Linked DNA regions of Lytechinus pictus. The protein of the gene in region 1 binds, or shares a complex with, the protein of each later gene. Links are inferred from orthologs where the notes say so. Each region holds a gene or a part of one and is shown on either strand. Other genes may lie near its edges.

The links. Proteins that work in one complex are often made in the same cells at the same time.
Region 2: the proteins of transcription initiation factor TFIID subunit 6-like (region 1) and transcription initiation factor TFIID subunit 9-like are in contact, whole or in part, in a crystal structure (PDB 1TAF), measured with the Drosophila melanogaster proteins. The link is inferred for Lytechinus pictus from reciprocal best matches to the Drosophila melanogaster genes Taf6 and Taf9. Residues at the interface, in NP_524161.2 of Drosophila melanogaster: Gly18, Ser19, Ser20, Ile21, Ser22, Glu24, Ser25, Met26, Ile29, Ala30, Ile33, Val35, Ser37, Leu38, Ser39, Asp41, Ala42, Glu45, Leu46, Asp49, Val50, Ser51, Lys53, Leu54, Lys55, Ile57, Val58, Gln59, Ala62, Gln71; in NP_523391.3 of Drosophila melanogaster: Lys20, Asp21, Val24, Ile25, Ser27, Ile28, Leu29, Glu31, Leu32, Val34, Glu36, Tyr37, Glu38, Arg40, Val41, Gln44, Leu45, Phe48, Thr49, Phe50, Tyr52, Val53, Thr54, Ile56, Leu57, Asp58, Lys61, Thr71, Ile72, Asp73.

The regions. Positions count from the first base shown.
Region 1 is NC_087260.1:23,354,017-23,361,629, forward strand, and holds the start of transcription initiation factor TFIID subunit 6-like, read left to right. Parts: upstream 1-4,611; 5' UTR 4,612-4,730; intron 4,731-4,778; exon of another isoform or gene 4,779-4,899; intron 4,900-7,613. Other genes in the region: acyl-coenzyme A thioesterase 9, mitochondrial-like, read right to left, coding at 4,034-4,074. UniProt on the Drosophila melanogaster protein: TFIID is a multimeric protein complex that plays a central role in mediating promoter responses to various activators and repressors.
Region 2 is NC_087260.1:4,330,400-4,337,459, forward strand, and holds the start of transcription initiation factor TFIID subunit 9-like, read right to left. Parts: upstream 3,025-7,060; 5' UTR 3,014-3,024; coding exon 2,893-3,013; intron 1-2,892. UniProt on the Drosophila melanogaster protein: TFIID is a multimeric protein complex that plays a central role in mediating promoter responses to various activators and repressors.

The DNA of each region.
Region 1 (7,613 bases):
TCTCTTTCAAGGGGCTGGACAGGAGCAGAGGTACCTCCATTCAGTAATTTGTTGATAGTTCTCCATGGGTTCTCACAATTCTCTTTTAGTTGCTCGCATTTCTCAAGCTGCCACTCTTGAAAGGCCTTCTTGTACTCCACCATGAACTCTGATACATTTCCTTGATGGATAGTAAAGTTGTTAGGTGTTCTCCTTCTCTTGTACGTCTTCTTGGAGAGCTTGCAAAGCTTGAGGAGCTCAGACATTTTAGAATTCCAGAAAGGCTTGCTATGTCTACATATCCTTTTTCGAGGAATCTTTTCAGCTGCCAGGGTTTGTATGGTATCTGTGAAATCTTTGCAAGCTTGGTCAGGATCTGTCATCTCTGTCAGTGATCTTCCCAGATCCTCAAGTTTATTTGACACTGCATCTTCCCATGACCTTTTAAAAAAATTTTAATTACCATACGATATGTAGGAAAGCTGCTCGCAAATGACGTCACAAACCAGATAATAACAATTCTAATCAATTTTTATTCTGATGGATTTTCCTAAAACCTTCGCCAAGATTTTTATAATTATTTTTTCTGCTATTTTTACAATGAACTTTTCAGGGTGAACTTCCCTAAGCCAGGCCTTGTCTAGACTTAGTCTTAGAAAAATTAATCTGAGACTGAGACTGAGTTTAAGATGCAGATGTAACGTTTAGCGTTTTCAGACATCCATAACATCGTACTTACACATATGTTTAACTAAAACACATGTTAAGGCCAAACATTAATCATAGCATCATTCATAATTACATTCGCAACGTTTGTTAAACAAATTGTTACCGTTACGGGCGTTAGTATACTAACTAACCTCGCAATACGTGCGAGTGCCGCGACACTCCAAAATATGGAAAAGGAAACACAATTTTAAACGTATGGGACTGGGCTTCCCAGCGGGCATAACATGATTTATACTATTTTTCTGGGCTTAATTTGAATGCAAACTACTGCAAATACATCAAAATGCATCAAAAGTTTTGCAGATACAAATAATCATCGAAATTACTTACCATAATCGAGTAACAGACATTTTATCCGGTCATTCGCCAGTCGCTTCGTTAGCACATCAATCATGAAAGTCAAGAGCGTCTGCTATACGGTAACGGTATACGACTTGTCCTGTCTACTCTTAACCCTGGATGGTTATTTATTATGGATACTATTGCCTTCATAGGGCTGATCTCCGAAAGCAGCGGAGGGAGAAAACCAGGAAGGAAGGTAAAGCACCCGTTCACACCACGGAAATACGTACACCAGTTGGTTTTAATCCGGGTTGCGTTTCTCGATGATCATGAAAGATGAGCTAGAGAAAGGTGGTGAAGCCAACTAGAATACATTTTAAAAGGTCAGAGGCACTAGCGTACCTACGGGGGGGGGGGGGGCAGGGGGGGCACTCTGCCCCCCTGACGAGTCACAACCCATGCAAAAACGTATCTTTGCCCTCCCTGACGGGCTTGAAAAACCTTTTTTGCCCCTCTGACGAGCTTTAAGTCCTTCAATGCCCCCTGACTTGAAGACCTTTTTTTTTTTTTTTTTTTTTTTTTTTTTGCTTGTTAAATTTTTGGGCGGACGGTTTTGCCCCCCCCTGTGGAAAATCCTAGGTATGCCACTGGTCAGAGGCCTTTTAATACAGAAATCATGTACAATAAAAACAATAGAGGGCCGAGTATTGAACCCTGCGAAATTCCGCATTTTGCAATATTAAGATAAAACTTATCACTACATTGTTTGCGATTACCTAAATAACTTTTGAAAAGATCCAATGTGATTCCTTTAATTCCATAAGAGTTTAGTTTTTTCTAATAAAATAAAATGGTCGATCTTACCGAAAGCTCAGCTGAGATCTATAAACAAGCAATCATAATTTCTTCATCATCTATTGCATGCACGAGTAACTTTCTGAATAAAATTTACCAATAAAGCAGATGTGGAATATCCTGGCTAAAACCATATCATTAGTAGGGTTCAATACATTGCACTTTATGATAAAATTTAACAATCGGTTATAGATAGATACATTTTTCTAATATTTTAGAAAAGATAGCTTGTATACTGCATGAGATAGGTCGATAATTAGACATAATTTCAGAAGGACCCTTTTTTTATGAACTGGAATAACTTTTGCAATCTGTAGTTGACATGGAAATGATCCCAATTCAAAACACTTATTAAATAATGCACTTAATGGCTCACTGCTGATCAAAATAGTTTTTTTTTAATGACCGACATTTCTATACTATATATACCATTATAGCTTGGACTTGTATTTAACAATAACAATATTAATTATTTCAGTGCTTGAAATAGGTCTGAAATATGCAGTTTGATTATTAATAGACAAATATGATTTAAAGTCATGGCCAGAACAAGAAGAAAAGGAACAATTTATATCATAATATATCCCTCTTAATTGTTAGGGACGTATAATTTTATTATTTTGTACACTCTTGATAAGCACATTTTGATAAGGGAATTGTGATGTTCTTGCACACAGGTGAATGCGACTATATATTATAGTCTTTCTGGTGATAGGCCTATACCAGGGGCCGCGGAACGGTTTTCAAAGTGGGGGGGGGGGGGCTGACCATGCAAAAATCACAATCATATGGTAATTTTTACGTTTTTGTACACGGTTTTGGAAAAAAGTGGGGGGCTGAAGCCCCCCCCCCCCCCCCGCTCCGCGGCCCCTGTATACGTCTATGTATTTCTTTTAAATGTTTATATGTTTTTGTTCATCTTGATTTTTCGGATGATCTGCAGAATAACCGATCTAATAATTGTTCATTAAAAAATATTTGAAATTAACAAATGAAAAAAAATCAACTCGACAAATTTCCCAAAACCCCACCTTATTTTTTAGAGTGGTCACAAAATTCGAGCGGAGTTGACCTTCCTTAGCTAGATAGAGCAACACGTTTGTGTGTTGCTGCCCTCTACGTTCGTTTGTCTACGTCTATTACAACGAACGTAGAGGGCAGCAACACACAAGCGTGTTGCTCTAAGGAAGGTCAACTCAATACGCGCATGCAGCTGAGGTACGCGCATATTTTATCATTTATGCCAACGAAATCATACGCCGATCCAATACAACAACAAATTAGTAGCGATCACGAAAACAATATGAAAGAATATGACTACAACGATATCAAAGATAACATTAAAAAATTATGTTGGAGAATATACGTACATTTGAAAACATACGTTGATATTTAAAACTTTACAAATATAAGTTTTAGAAACTAAATCATTACCAAATCGGTGATTGTTGTTATCAGCGATTTCACCAGACGGCTGTATTAAGGCGACCGCACACCTTACGATTGGTCTGCGACCCGATTTCAGAATGAAATGTAGTAGAATTTGATGCTAACATTGAGATTTGGAATATCTTACTGTGTAATGTTCTAAATCATCGTACGAATACCTATGTTCAAATCTGTGACTATGCTATCATCCTTCTTAGAATAAAAGCGAATTTAATATCTAGTCGTAATGACGTCATAGCAGTCGTACGATTGGCTACGATTTGAAACTAATTTGGCCTTTACTCAGAAATAAAGGCTTGCAATCTTTCAAAATGGTTATATTAGTATTCTTTCAATTAATTTAAACCTCAAATTAAATGATATGTTCCATTCACATTTTCAGAAAATGAGCAAAATGCGATTTGTTCCAAAATCGGATCGCGGACAGTCGTAAGGTGTGCGGTGGCCTTTAGGTGATTTGCGTCGAGACGATTTTGTGACCACTCGCAAAGCATTTCGGGATTGAATATGACCACCTTATTTTCTCTGAGCTCTTCGCTGAATCCATCATCACAGTGCAGCTGCAGCGCAGCGCGCAGCCAATGCAATGCATCCGATGCGTGGGTTGTTGTTTTTCGACGTCCATGCCATGGTCTCGGACTCGGAGTTGAAATTTAGACCCGGATTTCGGGGATACAGCGCCTTTATTTCAGATTTATAGACTTAAAAGTCAAATGACAATTAAAATTTGAAATCTAACCTTGAACAATCATCGTTGATTAACATCAGCCCTGAAGCCATTACACTTCAAATCAGGCCAGGCAAATTAGACGTCATTGTCTATGTTGCTAGAAGATCTATGACGAGTCGCCTGAAGCCCCAGCGCATCATCAACGTCACTATAGCTAGCTGCGCGACCGGCCCAGACTCGGCGCACCCAGGCCGGAAAAATGACCTCGATTATTACGGTGGTTGTCTATGCATTTATTAGTGGTGCAGCGAAATTCAGCAGAAGAAAATAACAGATTAGGGGTATCCTCGTCATAGACTTAATATTCCAAAATGAGGAAAAATGTCAAAATCATGATTATTGAAGCTAAATATTTTCTTTAAAAATAAGAATAATATTTTTAATATTTATACCCAGAATAAGCGATCTAATAATTGTTCATTAAAAATATTTGAAATTATCAAATGAAAAAAAATCAACTCGACAAATTTCCCAAAACCCCACCTTATTTTTTAGAGTGGTCACAAAATTCGAGCGGAGTTGACCTTCCTTAGCTAGATAGAGCAACACGCTTGTGTGTTGCTGCCCTCTACGTTCGTTGGTCTAATATAACGTGAAATATACTTTTCTTCTGGCAGCGCAGTGGACCCATGAGAAGAGTTGTCGTTAAAAAAATCACTGGACAATCACTGTCTCACCCGGCTTGAATTGAAGTCCTTTTGATAAGGTGAGCCAAGATTATATAGGTTTACATGACAAATTTATCGTTGCTTACCTGCATAAACTTGAACTTAAAATATTTTTTTTTAAAGTAAACTAACGCCGTGTTGTGTAGTCCGTATCCGGTCCATACACCAGCTCAACCCGTCATGCCCGTGCGTGCGATTCTTATGCATATAGGGCGTAGGGGCAATCACGTTTCTGTGTTTCGATTCGACCGTTTTTTTTTTCTACCTTTGACTTGACTTGCACGTTTGCATAAATTTTGATCACTTACTTCAGTCAATAATAAAAAATAATACTGTGAAGATGAAGTCCTACTGAGACCGACTGAGATGGGAGGCAGTGTAGCTCAGAGTCAGACTCGGTCGGTTAGACTAGTGACTCACTAGTTACTATATGGTGAGACTACCACATATCGACCACCTCTTTTGAAACCGACCACCTTGCGCGCGTTAAAATTATTGCGTATTACAAACGATACGCGCGGGAGAGTAGGCGCAGTGTCCATAGAAACGGTAAGAATCGATTTTACGAGAAAAAAAGAAGCAACAAAAAGTAAAAATTTAGTAGAATTAATCAAAATTGTATTGACCAGACCCAATTCCCGCTGAAAAACCAAGAAGTCCGATAGGAAACGGCTTTAGAACAAATATCCGTCGTCAATCGTCGAATCATGTGCCGGAGCTCGCAGTGGAAGTAGTGAGACGATCATTTAGCATGTTGACATCATAGAACTGATTTGGAAGAGTAAAAATATTTCGCCACCGCGACAAGAATCGGCCGTAAACTTAGTGTATCGCGGGTGGTCGGTTTCAAAAGACGGGTGCAAATGAGCAAATGTAAAATCGTTGTATTCGTTGTTCGTCGATATATACGCGGATTGAATCGGAGTCGCCGAGCGAAACATGGGAATCTGATCTGCTCAATTTTCTGCACAAATGGGACTAAAACTGGGTAAAATTGATGAATATTTTCGCAGATACGATGCTGAGAAGATTAGGTGGTCGATAAGGGGTAGTTCCAACCATACTTAGATTAGAAACTTAGGTCTTAGACTTGGTCTTAGAGCGCCTGTTCCGGATAAGATCGTACTCGTAGATCTCAACGTGCGTGGGTTCGAGTCCCGCAGCATGCCGGAAGACGTCTTACAAAAAAACTGATGCTAGCGTTGTGTGTTAACGTGCCTCACCGCTGTGTTCAGTGCGGGTGTGAATGCAGTTGGAAAACACTCCGTCCATCGGAAAGGACGCAAATGTTGGTCCCGTGTATAGCTACTATAGGAGAGTCACAACCTATTCACGTTAAAACCAATACACTATTCGTCAAAGAGTAGGGTGTTCACCCGGTGTATTGCACCTGCCGGTCCCCGGTACTACAATACTGCAAGAATCTTCAGGATTGAAGGAGGCAGTGTAGCTTGAAGAAGAAGAAGACTAACATGACTAAGAATAAAGATTAAGAACAAGATCGATCGATGCTGAAAGTGAACTGAAAATAATGGAGCTTAAAATTCCCGATGGCGATGTGGCAAGGCCAAGCCAGGGGCAGGGCAAAAGCCAAGCCCAAGGCACCCATGCCATGGGTGCATTACTGCCGCCATGTAGGATGGGGGTCGGGTGTCCGGACACTTTATATTTTTGAAGCCTTCTTTTTTGTCTTTGTTTGGATTACACTAAGAATATGAATTTAATCTAAATTGTAGTCATCTTCTATTTTGTTCTTTATAATATTTCCTAACAGTAACATTTTGTACTAAAAATTGCTGAAACTTCGCTTGTAAATTTTTCCAAATGACTTTCTAAAATTGATCGTCCAACTGGGTGTACAGGAAAAATGAAGGCAAGGCGCATGCAAAATTGCAACAAACTCCTGCAAATTTCAGAAGATGATTCATAAAATCAAATCCTATGAAACTTACCGAACGATGCATGTCATGGAAGTCAATTCCCCCTAATGCATGTAATATGATGAATATCCCTCAAATAGCGTCAATTTAAGCATTGATTTTTCTTCTCGTTGACAAAATACGGAGCTTGCTTCTATTTCCCAAATATTTTTCCGTCTAATTAGCTAGAGAGGGCGCGCGATTTATCCTCATATCAAAGACACTACAATTAATTAATTAATTTAAGGGAAAGACTACTTGGATTTACTTGGATGTTGAGATGTAAAGCAATCTGCTTATGTGCTACTCGTTGATTTTCTTATCTTTGGTAAGGTCTGTACTTCAGAGGATGGTTGTGCCAAAATTTTTCAAGTCTGGATTTGAACTGATTTAGACTATTTGCACAAAAACAGTTTTGACTAGGCACAAAAACTGTATTACACGTAAAGTCGATGCAAGCGTTACGTGAAGTCGGCAAAGTGTCCAATGTGTGTCTCTATTTTATCAAACAATCATAGGAAATGCGCATACAATAAATCAAGGATCTAGTTTAAAAATACTGACAAGCTGAATTAAGGTTGTGAATTGTATTAGCGCCAGTAACGACCTTCCTTTCATTTCCGTGGAAGAGACATGCGAAGCCACTTTCCAGGCCGAGGTTAGCGAGTTTGCTCTTTTTTATGTGCTTTTTATATTTAAAATATTTTTAAAATTGAAAATAGAACGCTTTTCAACAAAAAAAAGCCCTGGTGAGTAGCTGAATGAGTTTCGGCTAACATTATTTGTGTTATGAAGCGATGTTAACTGACATCTCTAAAATCCATTGCGTAAACACGTTCGTAGTGCAAGGTTAGTATAGCATACTTACCTTGCAATACGTGTGAGTGAAGCCAAGGCAATGTTGTGGCTGAGCCTGAAGTGTTTTTACGTAGTTGAATGTTTATGGCAGCTGTTGAGGCTACTGGGGCTATTGAGATGAATAGGGTGTTAAATGAAAGGTCT
Region 2 (7,060 bases), about 19 Mb from region 1:
CGATTTTGATGAAATTTTCAGCATTTTGCTCAGTGAATTCTACTCTATGTATTAAATTATAAATATTTTCAGCCCGGACCATCCCTTTAAATACATGGATTTTCATGTTTAAATTTCACAAAGCCACCCTTCCAGAAAATTTCTCCCCAATCTTTCAAACTCTCAAATTCATAATTACCCTACTAGACAACATATCAACTTACGTATTCCTTTTTCTAAAATTAATTTTATTCGTAATTCGATCAGATATATCGGGGTGAAAGAATGGAATTCTCTCACATATGATATCAAAAAACAGCACAACATTCGCGATTTAAGTCACTATCAAAGTCATTTTTTGTTCAATTATTTAAACAACTCCAATCCCCCCATGTAATTGTATTTTATCATTTTTTTTCTTGTCTTATCTTCTATTCTATCTTCTGTGTTGTTTTTGCATTGTGTGATGATGTGTGGGTGTGTGTGTTTATTCATAACCTTTTTTTTACCCATTATATTTTGTATTATTTTGTTGGTATCATGTTATTTCTGTAAATATTTTGATGTTTTTTTTAATGGTCAATAAATTGAAATTGAAATTAGGTTTCAATTGTTATGATACATTGTATTCTCCATCTTTTGTGTATTTTGTGCATTTGAAAGCCAATTTCTTTGTAAGCTTGCATGAATGCATCAACCAATTAAATATAATTGAATCCTGAATCTAATATCTGAAAAATGTTTTCGCCCATCCGATAAAAAAGTCTGGAGTATTGTGACCCAGAAGCAAATTACATGAAAGGGTGTAGCCTAGACCTACTTTGCATCATTCATAAAGGAACTTTTTCACATTGAAACACCTTTCCATTCTTTGATTCTTATTTGCTTTCCATACAAACAACTATTAATATATATATTATTCCAAATACAAATATAAATCAGATACAAATTAAGGGATCAACATTTTAAAGAAAAGCAGTACAAAAATTGAGCCTAGCATTAGGCTACAAAGAAAACAAAAAAATTGTTAATAGGAATAATAGTGTAAAGTCAGTAGTCTAGTGAGTCTACAGTCTAGAGAACGCGCGCATCACTCATATAACCTAATAGGATCTTCTGCCCAGAGTCTGATTATGGGGAACAAAAGAGCTCAACGTCCCAAACTTAAAGGATGCGTCAGAGTATAATTTCATACCCTCAAAACTTTGCAACATCATTCTAAAGAGAAATTGAATAGAAAGATGATGAAAATTGTCCAAAATACATTTTCAAAGTCTTTTGTCAGATCTAGATCTTTATTCTCAAACTCATACAATATTTTAAAAATAATTAGCTCAACAGCGATTTTGTTGCTTTCTCAACTTCACCCATAGAAAACAGTATGTTCAGTAGTAGATTTCAGTTCACATGGCGACATGCAAAGCCGAGGACTGTGAAGAGGGGTCCAATTGCCTTGGCTTAGATGCTGATAGCGTAAAAAAGAAAACGATTTTGGAAAAATTTTTACATAGGTTCTAGATTATTTATAACTTAGGTATTCATGCATTTATGGTGAAAGTTTGGTGAATTTTATAAGAATATTTGGTTTGATATGATTGAATTCATGAAAAGCAATCGGTAATAATACGATCCACTAGTATGAAGGGGAGCCCCATGTCTGCGCACCTAAAACTTTAACTTAAGATTAAAGTTAAACATGAATTTTATTCCACAAAAGTTTTCAGTTGATGTTGTTCCTTATCTATATTCTTAATGGGTACCGTAAGCCAAAAATCTCGTGAAAATTTGAAAAAAATATATATGATTTTCTATTAAATTCTTGGAAAAACCCTCGGACAGTCATTTTCAGATTGAACAAAAGAAGGTGCCCCTTGACTTGTCCGCGCACCCATTTACTTTAACGTTACACACGATTTTGATGATAAAGTAAAAAAGGCTGCATTTTGAGGCCGTGACCCCAGTGTGACATTGAAATGCCTGAAATCTGAATTCAATATTTTTCCACCATTTTGAGTCGGATTTTTTAATGAACACGCCTATCTGTGTATGTATTTCAGGGGTGTAGATTCTATATTTTGTGGTCTTTGGTATCTTCTTTTTATTAAAGCCTAAAGGGCACTGAACAGTCTTGGGGCACCTTGCCACTATTACTATAAAACGTCCACGTCCTTGACGCGGACGCCGTCATACTCAGTCATAGCCCTAACCCAGGGAGCGCCCGCGCAGCGGGCAGGAGCCCAGGGGCTTACCGTGTATTTTACCATAGTCACCGGACTAGGGTGATTTATGGTCTAAATATTTCTCCAAATGAATTGTGAAAACAGAAAGTATACAATTACCACGATTATATGGATGAAGGTCTAACGAGTGGCAGTTTCCTGACATCTGGGCACAGACTTGAACCTCAAAAAAACGAAAAGTTCTCTCCTTCTACCCCCGTCTCGATCGGCCATTTTTGTTAAAAATCGTAACAAAATGGCCGATCGAGACTGGGGACTGGGGTAGAGGAGAGAACTTTTCGTTTTTTTGAGGTTCCAGTCTGTGCCCAGATGTCCGGAAACTGCCACTCGTTAGACCTTCATCCATATAATTGTGGTATACTTTCTGTTTTCACAATTCATTTGGAGAAATATTTAGACCATAAATCACCCTAGGCCTAGTCCGGTGACTATGGTCAAATACACGGTAAGCTCCTGCCAGTCCTGGGCTCCCTCCCGCTGCGCGGGCGGGAGCTCCCTGGGTTATCATAGCTCCTGCCCGGCCCCACCGCGCCCCATGGCATGGGGCCCGCGAGTGCAAATCGTCATAGTCCATGGACATGGTCCCACTGCCACTGCACTGGATGTGCCCGATTCTTCAAGATATTTTTGACTTATAGTTTATTTCTTACTCATTTTCATTTACAATACTCACTATATGCAAATTCCAGCATCTGATTTATCACTCTTGGCTCGTAATCTGTCACTCCCATATCTTTCAAAATAGCTGTCATAATTTCGGCATCGCGGGGCTGGGTTTTGTTGGAACTAGCCATCTTGACAAAAGCTGTATAACTTATTGTCGTAGATGGCAGCAAAGCAATCGATTTTGATTTGATCGACCAGTGACGTGATCATCCACCTCGATCACAAACCGCAAAATATTTGTTTAATAAACTCAAATGAATAGAATAATGGTAAGGATAAGGATTAAAATAATAATGATAATCAGGGGCGTAGACAACGGGGGGGATGAGGGGGATGCATCCCCCCCACCTCACAAGGTGGGGGGGATGGCATGTACAATCATCCCCCCCAGGTTTTGGGGAATGATATTTGGTTACTTAATAAGTCATAATGATGATAATAATAGTAATAATAATAATGATAACAATTATAATATTAATAATAATAATAATTATGATGATGATAATAATAATCCTCATCATTATTGTAATTGTGTTTATTGTTATTAGCCGCATTCACACGGTGAAAGCCAATTCAGACGGTAAAAAAAAGAAAATCTTACAAGTATTTACTGGGCAGGAACGAAAAGAGGCGCAAGATATTTGGTTTCTAAGACACAAATTTGCAAGACTACAAAAGTAAAACTGACTAAGAGACCGATATGTTTGTTTGTTGAGCCATGAATGCTCCTTAAGTAAGTTTACCAACTTACCGCATGTCTCTATTATCTGATTAGCAACTGTTAATCAAGCTGTTTTTGGTATGGGAATGAAGCAACAACTTTTTTTCTTTTCATCGAGACTACTTTTCAGGCACGAACCGAGTACTAGCAATACCTTCTCATATATGATATGTATTATATTTATTTATTTATTTATTAGTTTATATCAGATTATATTACAGGTATATGATATTTATACATATATATATACATTATATGCATTTATTTATTTATTTATTTATATATTTATATACACGTTATTTTCTCAAGTCGGTTTTTATTGAAATACATGTGTGGTCTGGCCCACTCGTGTTATAGGCATTATACATTGTGTGTAAAATGCATCAGCGCAATCTAAAACAGAATAGAAAATGAATGTGATACAACAGTATACATAATAATTCGTGACAGAGAGTACCATACTACTATCTTTATAACAAGTATTATTCAAACAAACATATATAATTATGTATAATCATGAATTGTTCAACTTCATGCTCCCACTATATGACTATTGTTACACTAATACTGATATCAGGACTGACTGGTATACATTAGTTTGTTGTTAAGCTTGCAGCAGCTACATCTTTTCTGTATTGTTAACTATTTATTTATTTTTGTTTTATTTAAGATGCACTTTGTTTTGTATTCATTTAAAGTATGTTGATTGATGCATGAAGACATAAGTTTGAAATGTTTAAAGAAGTTTGTTTCATGTAAAGCGCAGTGTGAATTTACCCTGTCTTGAAATGCGAGATAAAAGGAACCTATTAGTATTAGCATTATTATTTGTATTAGTATTATTATTTTTTTTTATTATTATTATTATTATTATTATTATTATTATTATTATTATTATTATTACTATTATAAGACTGAGATCAAATAGAAGTAAATAATGCTCTAATTTGAAACGATGCAATGCCGTTATGGTTCCGATTTCTTCACAAACTTACAGAGCAGTATTGTTACTCCATGGATCATAGTGATACTGTTTATGTTTTTTGTATCTGTATGTTAATGAGCCGCCAGCCAATATCCATCTATGGATACTATGCCTGTTTCTTTGAGGTAAAAAAAAGCATAGTATGTACGTATTCATTATGCTTTATAATGAACAGACATATTGTTATTTGTTTGTTGTTTATGTGTTCTATTCACAAATGGCCACAGAGGCTGTTTTCATTCATAACCACATACCCATATCAAGACAACAAAGACTATACCTGCGTGTACACAGTTGACATTGGGTTTTTTTCTGAAGAGGTGTAACAGCAAAATTCACAGAGATAAATAAATACGTAGTGTGGTTCAATATGCAATACTATGTGTCAGTCCATTCTGTATTCGTATGCCACGGTGTGTAGATCTTGTCGATGTATGTCTGTCCATTCAAGGCGTAGTATGTGTGTGGTGCGCGCACCCGTGTGTGTGTGTGTGTGTGTGTGGGGGGGGTGAGTATGTGTGTGTGTGCGTGCGCGCTTGTGTGTGTTATTTTACCTCATTAAGTATGCATCAGATTGCACGATTTCAAGTTCAAAATTGCAAAAGCTCCCTACCGTGGGAGGGGGGACACCCCCCTCCCACACCCTCCCCCCCCCCCCTCGGTAGCTTCGCTCCCTCGCTCGGGCGCTTCGCGCCCTCAACAGCGTTGGCAGCCCAGTCATCCCCCCCTGGTGTACGAACCTGTCTACGCCACTGATGATAATAATAATGATAATAATAACAATAATAATAATAACAATAATAACTATTACTATTATTTGTCAGAGAGTCGATGAGGAAAGGAAAGGATATGACAGCGAAAGCTGAAGGCTGATCCTAGGAAAATGAGATTGGAAGGATGGAAAGAGAAGGTGATGCACGGACAGCATTTAAGGACGTTCCACAGTTAAAGTGAAATCCATGTCATTTTCACCAAACTTTGCACATAGATACTTTAGAACCTTAATATTCGAAATATGCAAAAATTAACATAGGTCCATGTGCTTGATTTTTTGCTATAGAGCTTCAAAGTTCGCGCATTCAAAAGAATTTGGCATTTTTAGACCGCCCAAGATTACTACAATGAGTTTAAACCTCCATTACTCAGTCAAAATACATGAAAAAGTCATCAAATTTCGCAAGAGAATTAATAATTGTATCGTTAGAATTGAGAATCTATTAATAGTGCTATTTGTTTGCAATTTTAAGTTTAACAGCACTGTCAGTTCTTAAAAATTGCGTAAAATATAACAAAATCCCAATCTAAAAAATGTAAAATTTCAGTAACAAACTACAAACGTACAATAAATGCTGCACTTTATTCAAAATCCATGTCATTTTCACCAAAATTTGCAAAGTTGTAGAGGAAGGTATACCTAAGAAGTACAAACATTAAAAAATAGGGGTTCATGTGCTTGTTTATAAACTATCAGCATTTTTATTAGAGCAAATGTGCTTTTTAAAACACCAAAAATGCGTCGAATGCTTTGTATCTATGTGAGGAAAAAATCAAAACCACTCTACCATTTATTCAAACTCGGGGACATATTCGTGATTCTTGGCAGCACTGCAGAGTAAAGTATTTTGAAATTGTAGAGATATTTAAAAAAATGGTCCATGGAATAATTCTATTTTCTTAGCTTCATAAAATAACGCATCGGATCTGCAGTTAGAGTGCAGATGATGAGAAAATTCAGCTCATACTCACAGCTAATTAATCACTTGTTCATCCATTGTGACGTCAGCGCGCAGAGTTTAAAATATGCGCAGATCATAATGCGCACAAACATAACTGTGGAACGTCCATAAGACAGACAGAGGAGTTTGCTGGACCAGAGTTGGCAGAGTTCACCATTAACTAAGGTGCTCAGAAGATCCAGGCTAGGACATGGGCGGAAATCTCTTCCTAAAATTAAGGGGGCCACATTTGAGTTTTCCGTTGTTATGTTCTACAGAGTTACTAACTCAAACACACACACACCATCACACACACATACATACATATATATATATAATTATAATATATATATACATACATACATTTCGAAGAGGAGGTATTCCTGACTAAAGATGAAAGGCCTCTATAAATAATGCGAGCGCGAAGCGCGAGCTGAAAGTTTTTGATTTTGCAACCTAAAAACTGGACATTTGTAACACTTTTTCAAATTATGAACAGGATAGCTAGGAATTACCTAAAAACTGAACATTCGTAAAACTTTTTCATATCATGAACAGAATAGGAATGTAACTAAATAATAGATGCGAGCGCGAGCTTAAGTTTGTAATTTTCCAACCTAAAAACTGTACATTCTTAACAGTTTTATAAAAATCATGAACAGGATAGGAATCTAATAAAATAATGCTCGCGCTTCGCGCTAGCATTATTTTATTAGATTCCTGAAAGTTTTTGATTTTCCAACCTAAAAACTGG